Stegostoma tigrinum: one gene and its partners. The protein of the gene in region 1 interacts with the protein of each later gene in a pairwise test. Links are inferred from orthologs where the notes say so. Each region holds a gene or a part of one and is shown in the gene's direction. Other genes may lie near its edges. The genes, in order: regulator of G-protein signaling 20, gnaz, gnao1a and guanine nucleotide-binding protein G(i) subunit alpha-2.

Region 1 (7,530 bases):
TGCTTTTCATCATTTATATAAATTATTTAGATGTGAAAATAGGAGGTATGTTTAGTAAATTTGCAGATGGTACCAAAATAGGTGGTATAGTGGACAGTAAAGAAGATTTTCTCAGAGTATGATGGGACCTTGACCAGATGGGCCAATGTGCCGAAGGGTAGCAGATAGAGTTTAATTTAGATAAATGTGAGGTGTTGCATTTTGCTAAGGCAAATCAACACAGGACTTATACAGTTAATGATAGAGTCTTGGAGAGTGCTGCTGAACAAAAAGACCTGGGCTACACATTCATACTTCCATGAAAGTTGGATGACAGGTAGGCAGGGTGGTGAAGAAGGCATTTGGCATGCTTGCCTTCATTGGTCAGTGAGTATAAGAGCTGGAATGTCTTGTTGCACAGTGTCATGTGAGGCACAGAACATTGGTGAGGCCACCTATGGAATACTGTGTACAATTTTGGTTGCCCTTCTGTAGGAAGGACACTGTAGGAAACTTGAGATGGTGCGGCAAAGATTTACAAGGATGTTACCAGGGCTGGACGGTTTGAGCCATAGGGAGAGGCTGAATAGGCTGGGGCTTTTTTTTCCCTGGAGTGTTGGAGACTGATGAGTGACATTATAGAGGTTTATAATATCGTAGGGTGAATAACCAATGTCTTTTTCCTTGGTAGGGGAGTCCAAAACTAGAGGGACACAGGTTTAATTTGAGAGGGGAAACATTCAAACGGATCTGAGGGGTAACCTTTTCACACAGAAGGTGGTGGATCTATGGAATGAGCTGACAGAGGAAGTGGTGGAGGCTGGTACAATCACAAGATTTAAAAGGCATCTGGATGGTTATGTGAATAGGAAGGGATTAGAGGAATATGGGCCAAATGTTAGCAAATGGGACTAGGTCAAATGTGCAGATGTGTTGGACCGAAGGGTCTGTGTCTGCATTGTATGACAGTATGATTTTGTCTCGAGCTGGTTTACAGCCAATGATGTACTTCTGAAATGAATTCACTGTTCTAATGTAGGAAACATTGTGCACTACAATTGTCTCGTGGATTTTCAGAAGCTTAGCTAAAGTTGAAGCCCCGGAACTGAAGGCAAGATTATTGACTTGTAGAGGAAATTGACTGTTTGGCAGGAGACAGGGGGTAGGGATAATTGAACAACTAATCTAATTAGCAGGATGTAAACTAGTCATGTCTGTAAGGATCCATATTGTTCTCTTGACTATTCACTATTTATTAACAATTCAGATGAAGGGATAGAATGCCACATAATAAGTTTAACAATGACAAAATGATAGGCAGTTAGGCAGAATATAATTATAGACATATTGATAACTTAAGGGAACGGAAAAATCTGTGGCAAACGAATTTCAATATAAACAAACATGTTGTCATCTACGTTGGACCTAATGAGAATAGAATATTTTCTGAATAAGGAAATAATTAAAATTGTGGAGTTCAATGATACTTGGAGGTCCAGGTACGTAGATCACTGAAGCATTACAAAAAGCTACAGAAATGATCAATTTTAGTTTATAAAATGATAGTCTTTATATTGCAAAAACTACAAAACAAGTGAGGTAGAATCTACATAAATATACAAAGCCCTGGTTAGACCACACCTGGAGTACTATAAGAAGTTGCAGCCCAACATATCTTAGGAAGGATATATTGGTCATGGTGGGAGTGCAGTGTATTTTTACCAGAATGCTGTCTGGCTTCAAAGGATTATGGGAAGAGATTACACAAACCAGGTTGCAAGTCCGAGAGTTTATAAGATTGAGCTCTAAAATGATTAGGTCAGTGTTTTCACAATATTAAGGGAACGAATAAATTAGGTAGAGAAAATTTATCCCTGCATCATGGCCAGCCCAGGATTTAAAAAGTAGAATTAGTCTGTTCAGGAGTAAAATTACGAAACACTTCATGGGGAGAAATTTGGAAGTTTACTCTTAAACAATAATTAATTGTATATCAGTTTTTAACTTTAATCAGTGATTTATCGTGTTGTTTTATCTAAATATCTGACAGAATATAATAACACGGATATTGGTCAAAGATTAAGGTCGTAGATCAGCAATAATCTCACGACAGACCTGGTATAGGGGCTAATCTTGTTTTTAATGTTTTAATCTCTTCCCGTCCAGAAGGAGAACACTCCCACCCATGCTAGCATTACTCCCTCTCCTCCAAATACACACGCTGATACATCAATTTGTTCACACCCACATATATGCACTCTCCTCCACCCCCGAACATATCCCCTTACATCCCAACCACACCAAGTCACCTCCCTTAGCAACACACGCCCTCACATACTACCCCTCACTCCCAAATCCGTCTCCCTACCATACACACAGATGCATGCTCCCCCACTTCCCACCCCCTTCATACACACGCACACACACATCTAACTGGTAAACAACGTAGTAGTTTTGGAAAATTTGAAATTATCACTGGTTAATTGGCGCAGAATTTACCAGCGGTGTTTGGCGCCACCTTCTGAGATCAAAAAAAGCACTTCCTTGGCGAGTCGGAAAATAAGAAAGCGTTTTCTGGCCATGAGGTAATGATAATTTGCACATTTGCTAGGTGAATCTGAAATTTACTTCAGATATTTAGTGTCCAATGATAGGATGTAGGAACGACTCCGATGAATTGAAACATATAAAACGTTATTTGCGAACGCGGACTGTTATGAACTTTCCGTGAAATGTTAGAACAATACACACATGTATAAATAGTGGGCAGCCTTTTATAAATGGTCCAATTTCTATGCGATTTTACACCTTAACTTTACAAAGACAATACAAATTGAAGTGTAAAATTCTTGTCGATCTAAATACCAATTCATTAAAACTTATATTTAGCGTGATGGCTAGTGTCTAACTGCAGATATTTGCCAGTACTGTCAACTGTAACGATTGGAAGAACTCAGATATACGATTTAAGACGATAAACGCTAAGTAAAATCGGAGTGAGTCATCTTTCTGGAATTGTTGAAACATGCAGAGATAATTCGGGGATCACACTTTATTGTTTGTTCTTGTACAGCATTAAATTTTGACGGTAGATCAGCTTTTTTAACTCGAAAGATGATGACTCGTAGTCACTCCCTGGGACTCAGCGTCAAGTTGATGGTAATTTGAGACTGTTTAACTAACATAGCCTGGTCTTGGAGTCATCTTTTCATTTCAACATGAACGCACGGAATGATACAAAGTATATCGTTGTGTCCCTGTAATATTGAAATTAAGTGTTGGGAAAGTGCGGCGCATGCAGATGAGATAACCACATTGAAATTGCATTGCAGGGTACGGTTGAGTTCTCCTTGCAAGGATCAATTCGAGTCAGCACACACACACATAAAAATACTGTGACGATTGGGGGGGCTAGCTCATCAGGGCGCAATGGATATAATATGCTATAATCCAATCTGAAGTCTAGGCTAGGCTCTGCAGGATCTTCTCAGGAGTAGAGAGTCATAATTCTCCCTATCAAACCATCCTGTCTGGATATTAACATTCACTTCACACTACGTTCTGACATGCTGGGGAACCCTCTACAATAAACTTGGGAACTGTAAATGCATCGTTAATTATACCGCTAGCTGGCAGGTTTGTAAATTGTTGGATAGACTCTTTAGTCCTTTATCGATCCAGTTGTAATAGCTCTGACATTTTTAGAACTGCTAATATTTCTGTTCAAATGAAAGGGAGCACATGGGTAAATAAATACCAAGACGCAAAGAAGGGAAATCTATACTTGTCGATTTGTATATTTTCAAACATGTCAATTTGGTATTTAAAACATCGTCTTTATTTCTGATGAGCTTTTTGTTCGTTAAAGTCTTTAGATATTAAAGACATCGAGGGGCAAGGAAATATTGGAATTATAACGTTGAGATGGCGGGTTAGCCACGATCATATAGAATGAAGAAGCAGGTTCGAAAGGCCGAATTCCTATTTTGTCTGTTTCTTACTGTGTATCTCTGGATTCCCATACCAAAGAATCTGAGTGAAGCTGTTGTTCTCTGGACTTCATTGGTCAGCATCATTTACTAAACTGAACATATTTTGCCTCCACTCAGTTCAGAGATAACGCATCGTCCACCAGGGATACAATGTCCCCTTCTCTGAAATGAGGAGCTCCACAAAATCCTATTATCTCCTTCCCTTAACCCACTCAGTTCAGAGATAACGCATCGTCCACCAGGGATACAATGTCCCCTTCTCTGAAATGAGGAGCTCCACAAAATCCTATTATCTCCTTCCCTTAATCTCTGAAAGCACTGGAACAGAGCAGTGGGCATTCCCTGTCCTATTTGAGGACTCTTTTCTAACGCGCCCAGCAGTGAGTGTGGAACGCCGGCTCGTTGCAGTGCTGCTGGCAGAAGGTGTGAGACAGGTTGCTGAGACAGGAACGGAGACCCTGGGGGAAGCTTGTTTGAGCATCAGCTTGTCGTCTGAGGCTCCTTGACGTAGCAGCGAAAACTGCTCGCCAAGTCAATCGGCCGGGACGCGCATGCGCAGCCCACCTCTTGCCAGCCGCCCTGGGTGTCGATCTGCCTTTAAAAAAAACGGATGTGCTTGAGAAAACGATACAGTAACACGCCGAATTTTAATGAAAAACTGTAAGTAATATCCTCATGTTTGATTGCTGACTTTTGTCCTTTCTTTAAAAAAAAGTAGCAGCTTCCTACCCAGTGAGTGGGGCAGTCAATTTAAATGGTAAAGCTGTAAAATGTATTTTTACCATATCCTACAATTTGACAAGCCTTCCTTTTGTAATAGTGCAGCTTTCTGTGCACAGCGTTTCAGGCAAATCTTAAATCATTAGAGGTATCTGTCTGTGTGGCGGTTTTATTAAAAAAAGAGAGAAATCGGAATATCCCCATGGAAACACGAGGGGTCTGGTGCATTTATTATCCACTGATGCTTTGTTGATGATTTTAGCTGTCAGTGAAGATTTCTTGTACAGCGTAAAATGCAAAACGATCTCTTCCCGTCGTTGCTGCATTCCCATGAGCAGTATATGTTGTGGGTTTAAAGTCGCGACCATTTGCCAATTTTTCTTAACAAACACACAGTTAAAAGAAAAAGCTGAACTGGTGACTCGGATCCGGCTCCGTGCTCTGACAGCGCGTTATGTCTGGAGGGAGAGACGGACGCGCAGGATTGGAAGAAGTTGCGGCACTTTTGATGTGCCAACCTTTCCCCAGTTGGCTCCTGCCTTTTGCCACCTGTAGCTGCTGCAGGATTCCGGCCTCAGCCCGCGCCACGCTCTGGCACCACTTGCATTGCTTTGCATTGCCTTCGCAGCTTCAGCGTCCCCGTCTTCACCGGGCTACCCAACATGTCCACTGGTATCATTTTACTCAAGCTCTCGAGTCGGAAGTATCTTTCTCGCCGTCCAAATTGCTCGCTGCTTTCACGTTCTGATTTTACCTCCCAGACCTTCAGTTTATTGCCTCCCTGTTTGATACAGTACACACCCGAAATTGAAGTCCGTACGTGCATATCTCTTTTTTCTTGAAAAAAGGATGCGGGTGAGGCAATTTCGGGGGTGGAGCCGATAGATTTGGGTGATTTTCTTTAAAACAAAAGAGTGGGGACACGATCAAAATGATTGGTGCCTGGTAGGTGTGGAAATGCGAGCAGCTACATTGAGACAAGAGGGAGGGAATATTGCAGATCTCCACTCCGATTTTGTAAAGTGCCAAACACTTTCGCCATCCTACAGATTGTTGTCGCTATACATGTAAATCCAGTTGTTTCTTGATGCATAAACTTGTTAAGCATTCATCTGAGAATATGGAAATAAATGCAGTTTGAAAATCCGCTGTATTCAGTTTTGCTGATGAATAGGTTACCTGGTGTATTGTTCCTAGACCAAGCTCAATTGGTCCTTGAAGGGATTTGTCACTTGTGTCGTGTGTGTTGTGATAGATAGATGCAGTCACTTCTTAAATGAACGGAAACCATGTATTGGTCTGTGCACATGTATGTAGAGGCATGACATTGTAGGCAACACTCCCCCTGCTCACGATGTGGTGGGGCTGGAGAAGTGATAGCCAGAACACAGCTACATTATTTACTGGTATCCAACGAAAGTCCCATGACCATAAATACAGTCAAGGGTGGGTAATTAAAAGTGCTGTGGTATGATTTGAATTTGTTGACTGTGCAAAGCCAATGATTTAGTCTGCAATATGGTAATGATACAAACATTTTCTCTAAAATGTTTTTGTCACTTGCATCTAAAAAAATATATATTTTGTGAACAAAGCTGATGGGGAACCAATCTCACATGGTCAGCTTGGTCAACTCTCAAAAATATATTGCAGCACTGGGGTGGAACATCATCATGATGAAAGAAGCACAAAATTTCTATCTCACTGCACTTGAAATAATAGTGTAATGAATTCAACATGATCTTGAATTTTTAAGAAGGCTTTTCTTCTTTGTACTTCTGGCCTTTTACTTCCTGTTGAATATCTGTACTCATTTGAAGCAATGAGTTGTAAATCTGATAAGCTTCAAAAACCACAGAGTCACTACTTTAATAAAATACATTACTTCTTATTTGGACACAAAATTGTCCATAGTGGGTACTGTGTGTATGCTTAGGTTGGACCATTTAAAGTGGAGAATAAAATTTAGATTTATGCTTCATACATTTGCATCGTGGGAAAATTGCATCTGTACAACATTATCATCAATAATAAATCATTTGTACAGTTTATTCAATGAGTTAATGTTATGTTTTATTGCATAATACATTTGTTGCATGTTAGGATCTTGATCAGATGGGTCAGTGGGCTGAGGAGTGGTAGATGGAGTTTAATTTAGATAAATGTGAGATGCTGTGTTTTGGAATGGCAATCAGGCAGGACCTATACACTTAACAGTAAGGTCCTGGGGAGAGGAGACCTTGGAATGCAGGTTCATCTTTCCTTGAAATTGGATTCACAGATAGATAGAATAGTGAATAAGGCATGTGGTGTGCTTTCCTTTACCGGTCAATACATTGAATATAGGAGATGGGCGGTCATATTGACATTGTACAGGGCATTGATTAGGTCACTTTTTGGTGTATTGTGTGCAATTCTGGTCTCTCTCTTTATAGGAAGGATGTTTTGAAACTTGAAAGATTTCAGAAAAGATTTACAAGGATGTTGCCAGTGTCGGAGGGTTTGAGCTATAGGGAAAGGCTGAATAGGCTGGGGCTATTTTCCCTCGACCATCAGGGGTTAAGGGTTGACATTATAGAGACTTATAAAATCATGACAGCATGGACAGGGCAAATGAACAAGGTCTTTTCCCCAGAGTAGGGAAGTCCAAAACTAGAGGGCATAGACTTAAGGTGAGAGGGGAAAGATATAAAAGCAACCTGAGGGACAACATTTTCACACAGAGGCTGGTGAGTGTATGGAATGAACTGCCAGAGGAAGTGGTGGAGGCTGGTATGATTACAACACTTAACAGGTTTTTGGATGGATATATGAGTGGGTAGGGATTAGATGGATATGG
Region 2 (6,997 bases), on another chromosome or scaffold:
AACTGATGTGTCATAGGGTCATACAGTCACAGAGATATACAGCACTGAATCAGACCCTTTGGTTCAACTTGTCCATGCCCACCAGATATCCTGTATAAATCTAGTCCCTTTTGCCAGCATTTGGCCCATAACCCTCCAAACCCTTCCAATTCATATACCCATCCAGATGCCTTTTAAATGCTGTAATTGTATCAGCATCCACCACTTCCTCTGGCAGCTCATTTCATACATGCACTACCCTCTGCATGAAAAAGTTGTCCCTTAGGTCCCTTTTATATCTTAGCCCTCTCAACTCAAATGTATTCCCCTCTAGTTTTGGACTCCCCCAGTCCTGGGGAAAAGACCTTGCCTATTTACCCTATCCATACCACTCATGGTTTGAAAGACCTATATATGGTCACCCCTCAGCCTCAAATGCTCCAGGGAAAATAGCCCCAGCCTATTCAGCCTCTTCATATAGCTCAAACTCTCCAACCCTGGCAGCATCTTTGTAAATCTTTTCTGCACCCTTTCCAGTTTCACAACATCCTTCCTATAGCAGGGAGATCAGAACTGAATGCAATACCCCAAAATTGGCTGAACCAATGTCCTATACAGCTGCATCATGACTTCCCAACTCCTATACTCAATGCACTGACCAATAAAGGAAAACATACCAAACACCTGCCACTCCACTTTCAAGAAGCTAGAACCTGCACTTAATGGCCTCTTTCTTTGGCAACACTCCACAGGACCTTACAATTATGTGTATAAGTACTGCCCTGATTTGCCTTCCCAAAATGCAGCACCTCACATTTATCTCAATTAAACTCTATCTGTCACTCCTTGGCCCATTGGCCCATCTAGTTAAGATCCCATTGTACTGGAGTAACCTTTGTCGCTGTCCACTACACCTCCAATTTTAGTGTCATCTGCAAACTTATTTACCTCTTATGTTTGCATCCAAATCGTTTATGTAAATTATAAAAAGCAGTGGACCCAGCACCAATCCTTGTGGCACACCGCTGGTTATAGGCCTCCGGTCTGAAAAGTAACTCTCCACCACCATCCTCTATCTTCTACCTTTGAGCCAGTTCTGTATCCAAATAGCTGGTTCTCCCTGTATTCTGTGTGATCTGACCTTGCTAACTAGTCTATTATGAAGAACCCTTTTGAACACCTTACTGAAGACCATATAGATCACATCCACAGCTCTGCACTCATCAATCCTCTTTGTTACTTCTTCAAAAACTCCATCTTGTTAGTGAGATATGATTCCGACTCCCCATGCACAAAGCCATGTTGACTATCCCTAATCAGTCCCTGCCTTCCCAAATACACATAAACCCTGTCCGTCAAGATTCTCTCCAACAACATGCCCACCACTGATGTCAGGCTCACCGGTCTATAGTTCCCTGGGTTTTCCTTACCACCTTTCTTAAATAGTGGCATGGCCTCCAGTCTTTCAACACCGCACCTGTGGCTATTGATGATATAAATGTCTCAGCAAGGAGCCCAGCAACCTCTTCCCTAGCTTTCCACAGAGTTCTCAGGTACACCCAATCAGGTTCTAGGGATTTGTCCACCTTTATGCATTATACGACATTCAGTATCTCCTCCTCTGTAATATGGACATTTTTCAAGACGTCACTATTTATTTCTCCACATTCTCTATCTTCCATATCCTTCTCGACAGTAAACACTGATGCAAAATACTGTATCAGTATCTCCCCCATCTCCTGTGGTTCCACACATAGGTGGTCTTACTGATTTTTAAGGAGCCCTATTCTCTCTCTGGTTACTATTTTGTCCTTAATATATTTGCAGAATCCCTTTGAACTCTCCTTAAGGCTATTTGCCAAAGCTATTTCATGTCCCTATTTTGCACTCCTCATTTCCCTCTTAAGTATACTCCTGCTACCTTTATACTCTTCTAGAGCTTCATTCGATCCTTGCTGTCTATACTGAGATATGCTTCCTTTCTTTTCTTGGCCAAAACTTCAATTTCTCCAGTCATTCTTGACATTCCCAACGCCCGCCAACCTTGCCCTTCACCCTAACAGGACGTTCAGCTGTACTGCTTATCACATTCTTACACTGGACTTGCACAATCCAGATTTTGAAGTAAGTGTCAGGTCAGTTTCTACAGCCATTTTTAACATGGTGATCCAACCAGACCTGATGCTTCAGGTTTCTATATGAGGTACCCATGGTAGTGCCCTTTCCACGATAGGGCACCAGGTGGGCCATCCCTTTCTTCAACAAATATCTAAGGCTGAAACAAACTTCACACACTTTGTGCTGCAATAAACTAGCACAGTGCTTCCAAATACATATTTACTCCATCATCAAGATCACCTATTTCATTTCTATCATGACCTGCATCACCCCTGCCTCAACTTAATTGTTGCTGAAACCCTCATTCATACTTTTGTTAACTTCAGATTGGATGATTCGAATGTTTTCCTGGCCAACCTCCCATCTTTCAAAGCAAACAAATTTGACCTATTGCAAAATTCTGTTGCCCTAACTTGCACCAATTCCCTTTCACCTATCATGCCACATGTTCTCTGATCTGTATGAGTTCCCAGTTCAACAATGCCAAAATTTTAAAATTCTCATCCTTATTTCTGAATCCCTCTTTGGCCTTGCCCTCCCACTGTCCAACAGTCTCCAGCAGCTCTACAATACTTGAAGATCTTTGTAATCTTCCAATTTTGTTTTGTGCTTCCGTCTTTTGATTTCCCACTGTAGTTTCAGCAGGAAGCTGTTCAATTCTCTGGAGCAACAGCATAAGTTGTTCTAAACAGATATCCACCATAACTAGTGATAATGGGAACTGCAGATGCTGGAGAATTCAAGACAACAAAATGTGAGGCTGGATGAACACAGCAGGCCCAGAAACATCTCAGGAGCACAAAAGCTGACGTTTCGGGCCTAGACCCTTCATCAGAGAGCTCTCTGATGAAGGGTCTAGGCCCGAAACGTCAGCTTTTGTGCTCCTGAGATGCTGCTGGGCCTGCTGTGTTCATCCAGCCTCACATTTTGTTGTCTTGGATCCACCATAACTATGTGGTTCAATGTCAAATTTTGCTTGATAATGCTCCTATGAAATGCCTTGGGACCTTTAACCATGTTAACAGCACCAGATAAATGCAAGTTGTTGTTGTTTCTCCAGGGTTCCCTTAATGGAAACAATTAGTGGGAGATTGAAAGAGACCCACATACAGCAGTGGCACAGCGCACAAAGGCAATAACAAGACTCAGGGAAGATACTGAGCCTAAGGGCATGCAAGAGCTGAATAAATTTGCACAGCCTGCCGAAGCTTAAATGGAGGTTCTGACTGTGTTATAGTTAGGATCAGTGCTGTTCGCAAGACAAAAAGAAAATTATATCAACAGCAATTTTGGGTCACTGTTTGATTTATAAAAGGGGTGCTACTGAGCAGAACATTTTCTCATCATCTTTGCAATTCAGCCATTTGGGGCATCAGCCAGAAATCTCACAGATATCCTTCAGCAATATAAAACATTACTGGAGCATTCTATTATGAATCAACAGTACAGAGCAAGGCCGAACAGCAGAATGATTGGGATAAAGATCCCTCGTGCTGGTATTATGTTTCTAACAGGCACAGCTTTGTGTTTCTCTGCTTTACTAGAATGTCAATCCTGCTCACAGCATGTGAGGATGCTAGCATACACTGCACCACCCAGACAAAAAGCTAACAATACTTGGACAAGATGAGTTCTAACGCTATTTTACTCATTGTTACTTTTAATAATCAAAGGGATTTATATATATGAGATATTTTTGTTGGTGCGGGTGTCTTATTAACTAAGGATAGAAATAATAATTGATTGTAGTCTTCATTTCCAAATACTTCCCTTTTCCCTGAACAGCTATGGAGCAGGCAGCAAGCAAATGATTTGCCAGCAGTAGTGGCAATCCAGACAGCATCCTCCACTGGCAGCCAATCGGGGGACATTGTGATTTTCTGTTAGCGCGCACCTCAAACAGATCAGCTGTGCTACTGTAGCTGCCGTTGAGTGGGTTTCAGTAAGAGCTGCTCAAGCCTTCCTGTCAAAAGGAATATTGGCTCTGTGTCTGGTGTTGGCGTGGACCTACCCACTCCCCCTTCAAGAACCAGCCCCCCAACCCGCCTTTCACACACACACATACACACACACACGACAGCTTGATCACTGCACTCTAATCAAATCACACCCATACACATTCTGGAGGAAGCAGGGGAAAAGGAAGAGTGCTGCAAGCTGCTGGCATCTGTCTTCGACATAGTACTGCAGTGATCCTGGCTTCCTCCCCCGGCAGGCACTGATGCTGCCGTGAAGGACAGGGAGGCACTCTTAACATTGTGTGTACACAAAACAGCCCGTCATGACAAGAAGCTGATTGCTGAAGCACGCAGGGGTAAGTGGAGCTCTCCTGTCTTTTGCTCAATACAGTCACTCTCTTGCTGAGCTCTCTTGTGGGTTTGCTATATTTTCAAATAAAGGATTTTTTTTTGGTCCATCTACTGCTCTGTGAAACTTGGCTTGCTGCCATCATTTCCCATAAATAATTTGCAGTAGAGTGTTAGAAAAAGTGTTGAATGGATTGGAAGTAAGGATGAAGGAAATTGATCTGGATATCAATACCATTCAAGGACCCTTGGACTGCAGTGCCATGCACTTATGAATAACAAAATATCACTCTAACAATTCTGAAATTTTTGGCGATGTTTTTTATAACCAATGGTTTCATTTACTAATCTAAAAAAATTTCAACAGTCTCAAGGGTGTTTCTCTTGTAGAAAAAATGTCTTTGACAAAATAATAAGAAATAAAAATATTAGCTTTCTGCTACATTTTACTGAATATTGTTGATAGCATTTCTAACCTGCAGAGTATGTCGGCTTCCCAATGCCATTTCAGATATGACAGACCGAAGGAAAAGAAGACCCCAGGGAAATGTATGCTATTTTGTACTGCCTGTGAGCGTCCAGTAGTCAGCTCCTGTTTCATTTATTATAATGATGTCATCTACAAGGTATCTGAATTGAGGTTCTTTTTTGCCTGCTTTCTTGTAAGATTCAATGTCAGAATTTCAATAGGTACATATTGAGTGTAGCTTGTACAGAAACAGGTCAAGTTCATCCCTTCAGTGGTTGGACAACCTACTGAGGCAGGGATCCAGATTGTGGTTCCAGTCACAGATGCTCTTGAAACACTGCCAGATCCCACCTGAAGGCTGAATAAGATGGTAACCATTTTAGGGATTAAAATCAAACTTCCCACTTTATATGAACCTATTTTCAGCATCTCTGCTTGCAAGAATTGTGCCTGCAATTGGAAAAGCAAGACAGCGTGTGACCGTTGCACGGGCACAACTGCTGTCAACAAGCAAGCTATGAAGGATGGAACAGGTTTTCCTAACATCTCTTCATGCTGTCCGAACTGTGTTCTGCTGCTAAAAAATGTTAACCTAAGACGTATTTGCTATTCACAGAGAATTTCTGAAATCAGGATTTGAAAGGGAATGCAAAGTAACAGGTATTCTATCTTGTGGGTCAATAGTTTACGCTGTGTCCCAATAATTAAGCTGTTTTTGCAAACATTTTGCATCTTGGATAACATGACTTCATGTCCTAGGTGTGTTTGATACTTTAGTCCATCACCCAGGCGGTTGATCAAATTTTATTCATGTTACTGTACTGCAAAGGGTGTGTTTCATGTCAACACAGCACTTCAATTATTGGGAAAAGGTGGAAAATGATGGTTTTAACCGTAAACGTGTTTTCTTGTGCTTTACTATGGATCCACCCTTGAAATGCCTGTCACAAAACAACTATGCTTCTGACATCTTTAGTCACAAAACTGTAAAAACAGGAGGCTCAGCATGGGGTGGATCAAATAGAGAAAATATTAAAATAAAAGACAGAATCGCCGATGAACATTTGCACAGGCATGCAATTAAAATCCAATGTCCCTCTTATAAAAGATGCATTTTTTTAAATGGTGAAAGCAGTAAAGCTCCCATTTAATTATCTGAGAAAGGTTGCTAAAGTGATTAGACCTTTCTGCATTAAAAAGGGCATGAAGGTGAGAAAGAAATTATAAGGACAAGTCTACATATATTTTGCTCATTTTTCTCCAATTAATTTTGAATGGAGGGCTTTGTTACTGTTCATGAGAATTCTCAGTTAAACATAATTCTTTGAGAATGAAAAGGGGTGTGAAATGATTCAGAATATGATAAAAAATTTATGCGGAAAGAACCAAGTAATCTGATAAAAAATGAAATGCGTTCAGTCCTGTTGTCACACAATGAACCAAGATGTCAAAGGTAGATGTTGGAAATCTGAAATAAAAACAGTAATTGCTGGAGAAACACAACTGGACTAGCAGCATCTGTAGACAGAGAAACAGAGTTAACATTTTGAGTCCAATATAACTCTTCTTTAGATCCCAACAAGAACACTGGATTCACTACACCAGCTAAGCGAGTGTTATTAATAGTGGCCACGACATTAACCCTACCAAGACAACTAAAATCCCCTGATGAAATTTATAACCAACAATTAAAACTGATATTTATATAGTAGTAAGATTCCTAATTGACCTCTGGCCTCCCATGCCCCACTGTCCTGGTCCTCCCTCCAGGTAAACAGTGTAATGGCAAAATTTTTGTAGAACATTTTCCAATTGCAAATCAAAACACCAGAAAGAATCCTGGCACAAGTGGCATGCCACAAATGTAGAGCAGTTAGGTTTTATTACCAGGCATGTAATCATTACCATTATGAAGTGGCATATTAATTCACATTGATCCTACAGCTCCTCCAGATCTAATTTTCACATATTGAAAACTCAGATTATAAATCTGTAAAAGGCTGTGGCTCAGCACATTCACTCTGAAGGAGCTGAGTATGAAAGCTGGGAGGGCTCTAGCATCAGCCCTAATATGTGCTAGTTTAGCCAATCTCAGCCAGTTTAGTAGCAGTTCTGATAAAACTGG
Region 3 (7,916 bases), on another chromosome or scaffold:
ATAAACGCTGCATGAATTCTGAACTTATTTAAAGGCATACCTAGAATATTCTGTCTAATTCCAGTGCAAGGGAAAGACCAATTTTCTACTGAAAATAATTGGGATAATTTCAGGACTTCTGGTTCCAAGTTTTGAAAGGTGGTCCATAGAACAGAAATTACTTCAATCAAAGAAAAGATTGAGGGGTGATGTGATCTAGGTTTTTGACATTTTAAAAGGCATAAAAATATGGATTAAAGCATTTTTCATTCAATTTAAAATGATTATAGAATTGTATTATTCCCTGGAATGGAACAAAATTGCACCTGAAATAGTTATGACGTGTCCCTGTCATGTCAGGGCACTGTTTGTTGATGGCTCATTTCTGAGCTGTTTTCTGTCCAGTTAATTTTTGTCAGTGATGGTTTGCCATTGCCTTCCGGTCTCAGGGGCAAGGCAAGGAGGCAGGTCCAGGTCTACCTCAGCCATCTAGCCAACAGAGTTAACCAGCCTCCTAAAACTCTGTCCACTTGACTGTTAAAACGTGTTGGATAAAAAAACCATTATACAATGGAACAGCAGAGAAATGGCCAGATGGCACACCAATGGCTATTAGGCTCAGCCACTGAAAATTTTAAAAATGGTGATTTATGAACATTTCTAGACTTATCACTAGATTGACTTCAATGAGCCTAAGGATTTTTTTGGGCTGAAGAGAAACATCAAATGCTTTAAAGATAATAAAGGAAAAATACTGCAGATATATCTTCAAACATTTAACTTTGCTAATTGGCAGAAGAGAATCAAAACTAACAGGCCTTTTAAGATTATATAAAACATACAGCACAGCATTAGGCCATTTGATCCAATATGTTCATGCTCCATATCAATCCCCTACCTTATTTTATCTAACCCTTATATTTTGTATAGCTTCCCTTCAATAAATCTGTGCTATTCGCTCCAATCACTCTACATAGTCGCAAGTTCCACATTCTGAATAGAGGTAAGCTAGTGATGATGGTAGTTGACATGATCTTGACAAGGGTATAGAAACAGAATATACGTTTCTGCAGGAAATACAAAACATGGGAGTGAACTTAACTGTGTAAAAGAATAGCAGAAGCTCCAGGAGTCTTTAGTCAAGCTGGTCGATTTGGTAGATGAAGTTTAATATGAGAAAATACAGGGTGTTATATTGAGAGACAATGAAAAAGACAGAACATGTAAACTAAAAGGTTAAGCTTTAAAGGAAGTTAGAGTAAAGAGACATGGGCACCTTTTAAAAAATAGGAACACAGATTAAATACTGGACATCCTAATCCTTGTAATTAGAGGGCAGAAATCAAAAGCAACCCTCTAAAAATGATCAGTTAAACTACAAGTGAAATGTTGTCAAGTTTTGGCTGTCTTGACCATGAAGGAAGAATAGAAGAAATATAATAGGATACACCACGGGAGAAAGGTTTACATTTTCAAATCAGCCTGTTCAGAGATGTTATTACACACTTAGGGAACAAGTGGGACATGAGCTGGCTCAGAAGTAGGGGCACTACCACTGTAATGCAAGAGGAACACCTATTATGAGGAGGGGCTAAATAAGATGCTAGTTAAACCAAAGGTCAGGTAGACATCTGATAAAGATACTCAAGTTAGTGAGAAGTTTTGATTAGATAACTATTCACACTATTCGGCAAGTTGGTAGTGATAAATTTAAAGTTCATCATCAAAATAATGGATGGTGAGTTTAAAAGAGTTTATGTTTCTAGAAAGTATGTCTCACCAGAATGTTTGGAAACCAAATCCATTTCCTTTAATAAAAAGAGGTGATTGGTGATAATTCTTTGAAAGAACAAATTATTAAAGGCTATAAAGAAATGGCAACAAAATGAGGCTCAGTGAACAGCTGGATTGGACACCAAGGATTCACTGGCTTTCTTCAGTCTGATTTTTTTTAACCATTCTGTAATTTCAGGAATGCTGAGTACTTTGAAAATTTTGTACTTTTCAAGAGACTGATAGAAATTTCACATGCTTTTTAATCTTTCTGGACGTTGTCTCAATGGATTCTCCTGTCCCTTGGAAATTAAAGCTTAATTTGTCTCACTTGACTTCGAATGTCACCATTTTCTTACATCTATGTGCAATGGACTTCATTTGGCTGGTTTGTAACCCCATCTACTCTACTGATGACTGTTCCTTATGGGATATTCATTGCATCACCACTATTCTGCACTCCACAGTTTAACAAAAGCAAAATACTGCAGATGCTGGAAAACTGAAATGAAAGCAGAAAATTCTGGAGTATCAATCCCCTACCTTAGGTCAGCTGGTCTGGCAGCATTGGTGGACAGAGAAATCAAGTTAATGTTTCATGGAGTCGTACAGAACAGAAACAGGCTGTTCAGTCCAAGTAGTCAATGGCGACCTTAATACAAAACTAGACAAGTCCCACCAGCCTGCACTTGGTCCATATCCCTCCAAACATTTCTTCTTTTTTTCTTCATTCATTCACAGGATGAGGGAGTGACTCATTGGACAGCATTTATTGCCCATCCTTAATTTCCCAGACGGCAGTTAAGAGTCAACCACATTGCTGTGGGCCTGGAGTCACATGTAGGCCAGACCAGTCCAGGATGGCGGTTTCCTTTCCTAAAAGGCATTAGTGAACCACATGGTCAATCAACAATGGATTCCTGGTCATCATTAGATTGTTAATTCCAAATATTTATTGAATATAAATTCCACCATCTACCATGGCAGGATTTGAACCCTGGACCCCAGAACATTATCTGGATTAACAGTCCCGCTATAATAACACTGGGCCATCACCTCCCCTATTCACATACTTACCGAAATGTCTTTTAAATGTAGTAACTGTGCCCACATCCACCACTTTCTGTAGATGTTCATTCCACACATGAACCACTCTCTGCGTAAAAAAGTTGTCCCTCATGTCTTTTTGGAATCTTTCTCCTCTCAGCTTAAAAATATGTCCACTCATCTTGAAATCCCTCACCTCTGGGGGAAAGACACCTGCCATTCACCTTATTTATACCCCTCATGATTTTACAAATCTTTAAAACAATTCCTCAACCTCCTACACTCACATGAAAAAAGTCTTGCTCCTATCCAGCCTCTCCTTATAACTCAAACACCTAATTCCTGACAACATCCTGGTTAATCTTTTCTGAGCCCTCTGCAGCATAATAGTACCCTACCTACAGAAGAACGACCAGAACTGGACACAGTACTCCAGAAGAGGACTCACTAATGTCCTGTACAACCTCAATGTGCAAGTCCAGTATAACTCTTCTTCCATTGTGGACTTGAAATGTTAACTCAGGTTCTCTCTCCACAGGCGCTGCCAAACCTACTGAGTTCCTCCAGCACTTTCTGACTTCCCCAGTATAACATTGGCTTTCCATTGCATATTCCCTGATATCTCTGGTCTTTTGTAACAGTTTCCCTAATTGTTGCTTTTGGTTCTGATAAATGTTTATGGCAGGAACTAATATCAGCTCATGAGAGTTATTGTATTTTTATTACGTATTAATATTACTTTGACAACTAATCAATGACAAATTCATCCAGCTCCTGACCTCCGGGCCCTGCATTCTCCTACTGCCTTTTGCAGTTGGGGCCGCAGTTACGGCTCGGTTTTTAATTGGTGGCGGCGCATTCATGGTCCACCAGCCGTGGTTATACAACATACATTGGAATGCGCCAAAGGCGCTTTATTAACGAATTTTTTTTCGTATAAGCAGTAAATCTCAGCAGGACTCAAGTAATGCTGATGCAGTCCTGGTCTTTCTGGAACAGCGTTTTCCTTCCCACTTTGTCCTGGAAAGTTCCCAATTGAACACTCCTTGCCCCCTTCCACGTCTGATGCTTATAAGCCAGTTCACATATTTTGCCATTCTTTCTTGTTTTAGGAAACGTTTAGCAACACATAATCCTCCTAATGGATAACGGATGATCGGATGTGCTACAGCACAGATGTTAGGAGGGAGTGATTGTTTTGGGGAGTGGATTGATCCAGATGTGACTGTGTCAGAAATAGGCTGTTTGCCCGTCATATACAATCCGGGAGGTAAACGGTTTGGACAACTGGGATGACTAGGAGTAGAGGTTTTGTTGGGGGTGGGGGCCTTGGGAAACAGGTGTGTGAATGAACAGCTTTGGATCTCGCTGGGTTCGGAGCTCCGTTGACACCGGGCTGTGCGGACCCCCACCTCCACTGCCTGGGCAGTGGAAAGACGGCTGGGTTTACTCAGTGTTTGCATTGCCAGCAATTGCTGGAGAATTTTAGAGACACAAAAAAATGCACATGATGCCGGCGCTTCTTCTATGATTTGACACCGCCGCCCCCCCCCCCCCCAACGCCCCTAAAACCCGTCCCCTTTCCACTCTGTCAATGCGTCTGACTTTTGGAGCAGCGGTTCCCAGGTGGTCAGGTCCTGTAATAAGTGTTTCAGTGCCCTAATTGCGAGTTATTCTGTGGTCAAATCCGTTTAACAGCGTGACACGATGGATGTGATCAGTTTATAGTGCCCACTGTAATCTGCTGATGCAATAAACTCTCTGTCTCTCTCTCTCGCGCCCCCCCCCCCCCCCGTCCTATAACATTTGGATCGCGGGTCCCCGTTTGCCGTGAATACATGCAGCTTACAGTGCATATGAAACGTGTGAAAGTGTTTCAGGAATAGCTTGTGCACAGGGTGCTTGCATTGGGCCTGTCTTTTGCATTGCAATGCTATTTCATTTATTTGTGCAAATGCACGGATTGCATTCGCTCCTGCATTTTGGGGGTGGGGTTGGAAAGAGAGATTGCAGGATTTTGTTTTGTGGTAGCTGATGTGGATAGGAGTGGCCGACCCTCTCCTCCCTGTGTATGTGTGTGTAGGGAAGGTGCAGTCAGCAGTGGTGAATGCTGCTCGATTGGCGCAGGCTCACAGTCTGTTTGACGTCAGTGTGGAGTTGGGGCTGGCGCACTCTGTCTCTCCCTCCATTGTGAGCAGATCAACGATGCGATCGGCCTGAATCTCTGCTGCTACTGCTGCCGCTGCCGCCGCCCAGTCCAACAGCCGGCCAGAGCCCCCTTGTCCCTCCCCCCTCTCTCTCTCTCTCTCTCTCACTCCCCTCCCTGGTGAGACCTGCAACAACAACCGTCAAATCCTCCCTCCATCCCTTCCACAGTGTCACACTCACTCTTCTCCTGCTGCCCACCCAGACGGTGAAGGTAAAAGAAAACCAGCCCGCCGGTCCCCCCTCCGCCTCCCAGTCCAACTCCACACCCACGGGCTTTGGATGTGCGATTAAAAATCCCCGGCGTCTCCAACCGAGGGTTCAGTCCCAGAGAGCGAGCGAGTGAGTTGAGTTGACAAGGCCAGAGCTTGAGCTACTTTCCAGCACCAACCATGGGATGTACAATGAGCGCCGAGGAGAGGGCAGCCATGGAGCGGAGCAAAGCCATCGAGAAAACCATCAAGGAGGATGGCATTAGCGCCGCCAAGGATGTCAAGCTGCTGCTTCTCGGTAAGAGCCCGGTCTCTCTCTCTCCCCCTTCCCTTCCTCTGCCCCTGGCTGCCTCGTCAGGTGGATTGGAGGCTCCCCCTCAGCCGGCTGGTCATCCCGCTGCCCCGCTCCTCCACCCCACCCCCCGCTGCTTTCATCTCTTCACATCTTTTCCCCTCCCCAACCCTACTTTCTTTCACGTTTTCTCCCTTTTTTTCTCTCATTTTCCCACAGGGGCGGGAGAATCGGGGAAAAGCACCATCGTAAAGCAAATGAAGTAAGTGTTATTTTTTCTTTTTTAAAAAATTAACATTCAGTTTCTATTGATTTTAATAACGCATTTCTCTCCCTAAGCCTCATTTTAAGTCGAGACTGTACCTTGAGGTTAGATGTATATTGATGACAGGAGACCGCCATATTTATAGTGCTATAGTCTCAAGCCTCCTATCTCCAACATATTGATGGTTCTGGTGGAAGGATTGTCACTCTTTCCAACATATGCAGTCTGGTTATTCGGATTATATTTTTCGGGGTGGGGGTGGTCTTTATTTTCATGAATATCTCTGTTTCTTTGGAAAAGGGGTGTGGGTCAGATCTATTTGTGCTGGGGTGCTTGTCACCACGGGAGCAGCTGAGACTTCGCTTCGGAGGAGGGGCGCGGGTATGCATGTGTGTCTTAGCGGGTGGTGAGGAGAGAGAGAAAATCATCGTCAGCTACCAATTAACCTTTAATGCCAAGCTTTCATCTTTCAACATTTTTTTCTGTCATGTTTGATCGATTGAAACCGGCTGCGAGGCCAGTTATGTGGGATTTTTTTAAAATTACATTTTAAATGTGGATGTAAACAGATGGACAGCAGGTTGAACACTTGCCATTTCAAGGTTCTCTTCACCGAGATCTACCGATTCACTGTTATAAATAATCAGTCAGAATTCACTAGGGGGTCTCAGTAACTAGCGATCTTCTCATTGCTTGAGATTACCTGGATCGCACAGCGATTTGGTCCCACCCTTCCATATTTCATCCCCTGTGCTTTTTTCTTGAAGACAGTATGGCATGCTCACAATTTGAAGGGAAAAGGAAATGTATTTTAATGATAGCACATGTACAAACAAGTTGTCACTGTGCAAGGATGATTCCAGCCTCTCTGTTGATCTGTTATACTGACCAATGTCTTTCTGTCATGTACATGAGTGTTCTGTGTGTAATTCACTATAAAAAAAAGTTGTTAGGCACTGAAAATGACCAGCAACTAACAGTATGTTGGCCTTTACCTCAGGGATTCTGGAATACAAAAGCAAGGATACAAAGTTCTGAGCATGTTATATACTGAACAAAGCCTTGGAGAGATCCCATTTGGTGTGCTGTGTTCGATTCCAGCCATTCCCATTCTGGATTGAAGATAATGTAGTGTATATTTACCAGAATGGAACTGAGGCTTAAAGAGTTAACATATAAGGACAGGTTGCATAAACTTGGCTTGTGTTCCCTCGAGTTTAGATGGTTGAATGGTCTGATTGAGATGTTTAAAATAACAAAAAGGTAGGTACGAAGGAGCTATTCCCTTGGGTAAGGTAATGTAAAACAAGAGGGCACAGTTTTAGAATTATGTAAGGGCTTTTCTGAATTGAAATCAAGAACCACCTTTTCATGTAAAGAGTAATCCAGAGCACCCTTCCCCAAACAGCTGTAAATTCTCAGACAGTCAAAATTTTCAAGACTGTATTTGGAAGGCTGGCATTGGGCAATGGGATGCAAATGTAGATCAAAGGCTGATAAATGAAGCTGGGGATTAGATGATTGCATGGCAGAAAATGCTTCAGAATTTGGGTCTGCTTTTGCTGTCATCCATGACTGATGCAGCCTGCATATTATAGCTCGTGTTTGTGTATTTTTTTTTGTTACTACATATGTATTGACTTAGAGTAGAATACCACAGGTACATTGGATTATTTCTATGTATCATAACCCAGATCAACCAATTTCATATGTAACTGGTTGGATATGTGAACCAGAGTCTATCAAAGTCAAGTTTGTCATCCAAAAGTGAAGGTGCTCCAGCTTGGATCTGCATCTTTGTGTTGAGCTTTAGATTGGTTCAATGTGGTTGGCTTCTGATGCAAGTTTGGTTTGTGAAGTCTGAGTTTGAATCGGTGCAGAGTTGGTGAATTGGGCCTGAGCTGGTATCATACAGTATGGGTTGTGGGAGTTCTGGTTGGTGTTGGTATAAAATGACCTGGGTCTGTTTTCCAACCCAGGCTGGTGCATTTTGAATCAAGATTCAGGTTTTTAGCCTCGAGTGCACTCACACCTTCAACATCATCAGTATATACCCCTGCATCCAATCGTTCACCTCCTGCAACCTTTGTCCATGTCATTGTTGCTATGACAATCTTTCCTGGCCCACCTTCTCTTGTGTTCT
Region 4 (6,989 bases), on another chromosome or scaffold:
AACTGGAGCACCCAGAGGAAATCACACAGACACCAGAGGAATGTGAAAACTCCACACAAACAGTCACCCAAGAGTGGAATCAAACTTGGGCCCCTGGTGCTGTGAAGCAGCAGTGCTAACCGCTGAACCACTGTGTCACCCCCACTTAATGTAATGAAATCATGGCACATGACAGATACATTATAAAACAAAATATGATCTTCAGGGAAGGAAATCTAATGTCCTTACCTAGTCTCACTTACATGTAACAGTTGTCCCAGACATCCAATTGGTAGTTGGTCATTAAGGTGGACAAGGGGCAGCATGAAGGGACTGAATTTAGATTTTTAAGGTATTCATGTGGAAATGGAAAGAAAAGACTGTTGATGGCAGTTTTCTAGCTACAATTAGACAGATATGAATGGAATCTGTAATTTCAAATCCATGAGATCAATATGCTTGGGTTTAGTGAGGGTATGTCCAAAATCAACAAAATGAAAATAAAGGTAAAAAATTTCAGTGTAGATGGAAAGTTATAGAGTCATAGTTATAGAGCATGGAGACAGACCCTTCAGTCCACCCAGTCCATGCTGACTATATTCCTAGGGCGGCATGGTGGCTCAGTAGTTAGCATTTGCAGCCTCACAGTGCCAGGGACCCAGGTTTGATTCCAGCCTTGGGTAACTGTCTGTGCGGAGTTTGCACATCCTCCCTGTGCCTGCGTGGGTTTCCTCCAGGTGCTCCAGTTTCCTCCCATAGTCCAAAGATGTGCTGGCTAGGTGGATCAGCTATGCTAAATTGCCCATAGTGTTCAGGGACTTGTGGGTTATAGCGTGATGCGTCTGGGTGGGATGCTCCAAGGGGTGGTGTGGGCTTGTTGGGCCAAAGGGCCCGTTTCCACACTGTAGGTAATCTAATCTAAATTAAACTATCCTACCTGCCTGACCGTGGCCCATATCCCTCCTAACCTTTCCTATTCATGAACATATCCAAATGATTTTTAAACATTGTAACTGCATCCATTTCTCTGCTTGTTCATTTTACATACAAACCACTCTTTGTATAAAAAGCAGCGAGCTCTTCCAATGCTCGAGATAACATTCATCAATCAAAACCCCCCGTTTGAAAACAAATGAATTGTTGCTTACAAGACTTTGCTATTGCAAACAACATGCTTTATTTGACCATTAAGTTCAAAAATCGTTTCATTGACTTTGAAGAACTTTGGGCTATTCTGGGGCTGTGTGCGAAACTGATGAAAAAGAATTAATAAAGTATACGGTGCTCTCAGCTTTCTTAAAAAGGCATAGAGTACAAAAACAAAGAGGTGATGTTGAAGAGAGATAACAAAGTGTGGAGCTGGATGAACACAGCAGGCCAAGCAGCATCTTAGGAGCACAAAAGCTGACATTTTGGGCCTGGACTCTTCATCAGAAAAGGGGAATGGGGAGAGGATTCTGAAATAAATAGGGAGAGAGGGGGAGGCGGACTGAAGATGGATGGAGGAGAAGATAGGTGGAGAGAAGGTAGGGAGGGGATAGGTCAGACTGGAGAGGACGCACAGATCATGGGGGCGGGATGAGGTTAGTAGGTAGGAAATGCAGGTGCGGCTTCAGGTGGGAGGAGGGGATAGGTGAGCAGAAGAACAGGTTAGGGAGGCGGTGACGAGCTGGGCTGGTTTTGGGATGCAGTGGGGGGAGGGGAGATTTTGAAGCTGGTGAAATCCACATTGATACCATTGGGCTGCAGGGTTCCCAAGCAGAATATGAGTTGCTGTTCCTGCAACCTACGGGTGGTATCATTACGGCACAGCAGGAGGCGCAGGATGGACATGTCGTCTAAGGAATGGGAGGGGGAGTTAAAATGGTTCGCGACTGTGAGGTGCAGTTGTTTATTGTGAACCGAGCATAGGTGTTCTGCAAAGCGGTCCCCAAGCCTCCGCTTGATTTCAGCGTAGAGAAAGCCAGAACGGGAACAGCAAATGCAGTATACCACATTGGCAGATGTGCAGGTGAACATCTGCTTGATGTGGAAAGTCATCTTGGGGCCTGGGATAGGGGTGAGGGAGGAGGTGTCGGGGCAAGTGTGGCACTTCCTGCAGTTGCAGGGGAAAGTGCCGGGTGTGGTGGGGTTGGAGGGGAGTGTGGAGCGGACAAGGCAGTCACGGAGAGAGTGGTCTCTCCGGAAGGGTGGGGATGGAAAAATGTCTTCAGTGGTGGGGTCGGATTGTAGATGGCGGAAGTGTCAGAGGATGATATGTTGTATCTGGAGGTTGGTGGGGTGGTATGTGAGGACAATGGGGATTCTCTTTTGGCGGTTGTTGCAGGGGCAGGATGTGAGGGATGAGTTGCGGGAAATGCGGGAGACACGGTTGAGTGCGTTCTCGACCACCGTGGGGGGAAGTTGCGGTCCTTGAAGAATGAGAACATCTGGAATGTACGGGAGTTGAATGCCTCATCCTGGGAGCAGATGCGGCGGAGGCAAAGGAATTCGGAATAGGGGATGGAATTTTTGCAGGAAGGTGGATGGGAGGAGGTGTATTCCAGGTACCCGTGCGAGTCGGTGGGCTTGAAAAGGACATCAGTTTCTAGGTCGTTGCCTGAGGTGGAGACAGAGAGGTCCAAGAAGGTGAGTGATGTATTGGAGATGGTCCAGGTGAACTTAAGGTCGGGGTAGAAGGTGTTGGTGAAGTGGATGAACTGTTCGAGCCCCCTTTGTCTGTAGGAAGTGGGAGGAATGGAAAGAGTTGTTGAGGGTGAGGCGACCTCAGCTAGAGTATTATGCACACTTGTGGATGTCACTTTATAGGAAAGATGTAAATACATTGGAGAGAATGCATTAGTGATTTACAAGAATGGTGCCAGGAATGAGAAACTTGAGTTACCAGACAGATTGAAGAAGTTAGGAATGTTCTCCATGGAGACAACTTTTCATACAGCAAATAGTTAAGTATGGACTGCGCTGTCTGGAAATGTGGTAGAGGCAGGTTCATTTGAAGAATTCAGGAAGGTATTGGATGATTATTTGGATAGAAATGGTGTGCAGGAATAAGGGGGAAAATTAGCAGATTAGCACTAGGTAATAGAAACAGAGCAGGCATGGTGGGCCGAATGGTCTGATTCTACACTTGAACAATTCTGTGAAGCTCACTTTGTAAGTGCAAGTTCTTCTTAAGCAAATCGTCACCTTCTTAATTCATTTCAACGCAGCTTGTTCTTTCTCGGCAGAAGCGACCATCATCTTTATTGCTTATAAACATAAATGTAACAGTTGTCCCGGACGTCCATTCGGTAGTTGGTCTTTTAAACGTTTTTATTTTGTTTTTATATAATCCAAGAGAAAGTCATCAGTAGTTGGTTACATTTCAAACGGGTGACGATTGCGTGTACTTTTTCCTGAATAGACATGTCAGTGCCTGTATTGTGGTGCTTCTGTACTGTTTCCATCCGTGTGATTCCTGGGTTATTTTTGCTAAATTTAACACAGCCGGTGAACTCGGGATTGGTTCATTCTTGGGGATTTCGTCTCCTTCCGGCCGTCAGAACCCTGTTGGTGTAGCAACAAGTCACTCGAATAGCTGCAGAATAAATAACATTGTGTCACTGAAGAGAAAGGGTAATGAATGCTAAACACTGTAAAACACGAAAAGTGAAACGAGGGTTGAGCAGCGTGCACAGAATTTTAAGCAAAATGATGTATTTACTGTCGGAATCAACAGCAGGCAGTGAAACAATTAGCGGATGCTACTTGTCTTTTGAAAACTATAATAGAAATACCAGATTTCCAGCGACATTAACCAGTATTTGCAGCAAAAACGCTGCTGTCAATCATGTTACCTGGGAGGCGTTGCAGGGGCGAGAGGTATGCGGGGGATTGTAGTTCCCCGGCCCCGTGTGAAACTGGTTGGGTGTGGAAGTAAGGAACTACATTTCCCGTTCAGCATCGCGGCGAGCTCACGCCTTGTGCCTGTGCCATCCGGGTGCCTGTGCGCTCTGAGCCGGGCTGGGGTGTGGTGGAGTGGCAGAGTGCTACGGGCACGCAGCTCTTCCCCGCAGTCACAGGGGCTTAGTGAATTGCTGAGTGCAAACAAAAAAAAATCATCAGCCACCCGAGCCGGAATCTAAATCTCTTCAATACGCTTCTTTTTGCATTCCAACTCAGCCTAAACAAAACAACGTCCTATATATCTGCATAAAGTTTCTTTTGGCGACGTCGTCTGGACCTTTCTCTAGAGGACTTAGAAGCTGAAATTTGAAAGGAGGGTGAGAACTTCTTTGTCGAACATCCACACACAACAAAAAGAGAATTGAATCGACTTCAACTGACAATGGGTTGTACCATCAGCGCTGAGGACAAGGCGGCTGCCGAGCGATCGAAAATGATTGATAAGAATCTCCGGGAGGACGGAGAGAAAGCGGCTCGAGAAGTGAAGTTGTTACTTTTGGGTAAGTTGGGTCTCAGTTTGTATGTTTCTGTCTATTGGTCTATATGTGTACTCCTCGGGCTGGGTTATATTAACGTTACACTTTAACCACAGCGAGAGAAGGGAGTGCGAGTGAAGGATTGAAGTGTGAACGCTCTGTAACTTTTTCACAGTCAAAATGACAAACTGAGTGGAACAGACCGCGATTTATTGTGTGTTTAATCTCTTCCCTGAACAAAACGCTCTTACTTCCTTCGAAGGGAGTAGGAGGAAAGGGTGACAAAAATAACGGAAGTTGCATGAAGCAAGGTATTTTCAACAGCAGGCCCTACTTGAACATTTAGAAGGAGAATATTGTAGATGAAGTTGAATAGCTTGTTTCCAAGGAATGCATTTGGCCGTTCCTGTATTTAATGTCTCAAATTGTACTCCGGCACCTCAATGATAATGCTCCCAAGCGTTCTTGATTATTGGGGTTGATTTAAATTAACTCTTTCCCCCCCCCCCCCATGAAATTGGAGACATTGCTTCCTGCATGCACTTTAAAACAATCGTAGCAATGCCTTTCTTTTTGAAGAGAAATCCGTCTTTTAAAGTAAATGAAGGGTCGTTTTAATTCTTCTAATATTTGTTCAATTCCACAATTTTCCCACCGAATTTGAGTGATTTCAACAGAGAATGAACTCTCGAGATGCGCAGATGTCGTCAGGGTTTAGATGACAATCTCTGCTGCAATTTTTTTTTCTCTTTTGTGAACTTCGACGATGAGTTCGAGCCTATTGACGTAGGGTTCAGACGGAAAAAGGGAAGGAAGGGCTGTGGAGAAGAATTGAGGGAAGGCAGGGCCCCACATCTGCATACAACCCAAGAGCAGCCTCCGCCTGTACCGTTGTCCTGTGTGTAGGATCAATCGGAGAGATCACAGTGTTTAGAACAGGGAAGGAGGGGACAGGGATCCGCTGGGAATGATAGTTAGCGGCTGACCGTGATTAATAAGCATCTCTCCAGCTTATTCACAACTGCAGGCTGCCTGCAGTGCCCTGTTGCTTTCGCCTGCTTATTTAATTGCACATCCAGCAAAATTAATGCTATACATGTCCCCAATTACACGGGGACAAAAACACATCGAAAAGTGATGCCGTCGGCCAGAGAGGTATGCTTGTTAAAGGATTATATAACCGCAAAGTGCAGGCTTTCATACCATGAAGCGCGCGGGACAGTGAAACCGTTCATTTCAGTGGCTTGCAATTACATAGCGCCTGCAATATAAACTTAGGCGGCATCAGCAACGGAGGAAGAATAAACGCATAAGTAGTCTCCAGCCAAGATAACCTTTTGAAATGGAGGCTGCTCAGAGGTTTGTGGAAGCCTGGACATGATTTTGGGAGGTTACACTCTTCCAGGCTTGAATCTAAACATTAACTCAAGGATCCTTTGGGCTTTCTAACAGAAACAGATCATGGAGCTTTAATTACTCAGACTTTGAGAAAAATACGCCTTTTGGGTGTGGAACCAGCTTCAGAGGATGAGGTGACATTTGTGGTGTTGTAGCATTCTGTATAATTTCCTGTTGTGAACAATTTATCTGGTCGTGTTTGCATTCACTGTTGTCACAAAAAAGTAAGAAAAAGCCTGAGATGTGAGGAATGAACAATTGATGCTATATGAGGGATGAAGACTTGTTATTCCCATGTAAGGACTCTCCTATGCTGTATTGTTCTAAAATATTTTCAATTTTGAATACAGCAGTGCAAAATGTATTTTGCTATTGCCTTGAAAAATGAGACCAAATGAGATTGAAGTGCAAAGGAATTCAGGGGTACGCATCACAAATATGCATAAAGCAGCAAAGTCATTTAAACAAAAAAGTGGCTATCATTTTTGGAGAAGTAGAATTCAAAGGTATGCATATTCTGGTCTCCAGAATACAAAAATGATCGAGATGTACACTGGTAAAATTTCGTCAGGACTAACGATCCCTGAGAAGAGATCATGAGCAGCAATGATGGAGTAGCCTGGACTTCTGCACTGAAAAATAGAAATGTGAGACGACCATAAATAAAATTTATGAAGGGTTATGTTAAAGTTGACATAAACATATTTTCCATTGTGGGTGAGTCCAAAATTAGTGGCTGTAGATATAAAATGGTCACTAAAAATACCATTGAGGAATTGAGGAGAAACAACTTCGCCAAAGGAGTGGTTAGAATTTGGAACCTGTGAGAGAAATTTAATAGAGTCGGATGAGATAATGTAAAGTAGGAGAAAGCTTGTGTGGAGCATAAACACCAACATGGACCTGTTGGGACAAGTGACCTATTTTTGTCATATACTGTATAATCCTATGTAGGTCATGGGTTTGATATTGAACTCCTGTGATGAAAAGTTCATAAGGCAATTAGGAACAATACTTTCTGAATGAATTCTTGATTAGAATTTTTGGTGCGTAATGAGTAAATGTGCTTTGAGATAAATAATGGTTAAAAGGAATTTGGAAGTGTGCTTATTAAAAATAAAAGGAACGTAACCTTGTGATTCTGCATTTTAACTCACTACATACCTGCTGAGTGATATTAAGTATGACTGA

What was found.
Region 2: the proteins of regulator of G-protein signaling 20 (region 1) and gnaz interact in a two-hybrid assay, tested with the Homo sapiens proteins (2 studies listed by BioGRID). The link is inferred for Stegostoma tigrinum from reciprocal best matches to the Homo sapiens genes RGS19 and GNAZ.
Region 3: the proteins of regulator of G-protein signaling 20 (region 1) and gnao1a interact in a two-hybrid assay, tested with the Homo sapiens proteins (2 studies listed by BioGRID). The link is inferred for Stegostoma tigrinum from reciprocal best matches to the Homo sapiens genes RGS19 and GNAO1.
Region 4: the proteins of regulator of G-protein signaling 20 (region 1) and guanine nucleotide-binding protein G(i) subunit alpha-2 interact in a two-hybrid assay, tested with the Homo sapiens proteins (2 studies listed by BioGRID and IntAct). The link is inferred for Stegostoma tigrinum from reciprocal best matches to the Homo sapiens genes RGS19 and GNAI2.

The regions. Positions count from the first base shown.
Region 1 is NC_081372.1:27,678,439-27,685,968, reverse strand, and holds the start of regulator of G-protein signaling 20, read left to right. Parts: upstream 1-4,514; 5' UTR 4,515-4,581; coding exon of another isoform or gene 4,582-4,631; intron 4,632-7,530. UniProt on the Homo sapiens protein: Inhibits signal transduction by increasing the GTPase activity of G protein alpha subunits thereby driving them into their inactive GDP-bound form. Binds to G-alpha subfamily 1 members, with the order G(i)a3 > G(i)a1 > G(o)a >> G(z)a/G(i)a2.
Region 2 is NC_081379.1:45,326,181-45,333,177, reverse strand, and holds the start of gnaz (guanine nucleotide-binding protein G(z) subunit alpha), read left to right. Parts: upstream 1-3,997; 5' UTR 3,998-4,411; intron 4,412-6,997. UniProt on the Homo sapiens protein: Guanine nucleotide-binding proteins (G proteins) are involved as modulators or transducers in various transmembrane signaling systems.
Region 3 is NC_081369.1:13,077,862-13,085,777, reverse strand, and holds the start of gnao1a (guanine nucleotide binding protein (G protein), alpha activating activity polypeptide O, a), read left to right. Parts: upstream 1-4,895; 5' UTR 4,896-5,396; coding exon 5,397-5,514; intron 5,515-5,727; coding exon 5,728-5,770; intron 5,771-7,916. UniProt on the Homo sapiens protein: Guanine nucleotide-binding proteins (G proteins) function as transducers downstream of G protein-coupled receptors (GPCRs) in numerous signaling cascades.
Region 4 is NC_081364.1:15,213,304-15,220,292, reverse strand, and holds the start of guanine nucleotide-binding protein G(i) subunit alpha-2, read left to right. Parts: upstream 1-3,963; 5' UTR 3,964-4,306; coding exon 4,307-4,424; intron 4,425-5,395; exon of another isoform or gene 5,396-5,555; intron 5,556-6,989. UniProt on the Homo sapiens protein: Guanine nucleotide-binding proteins (G proteins) are involved as modulators or transducers in various transmembrane signaling systems.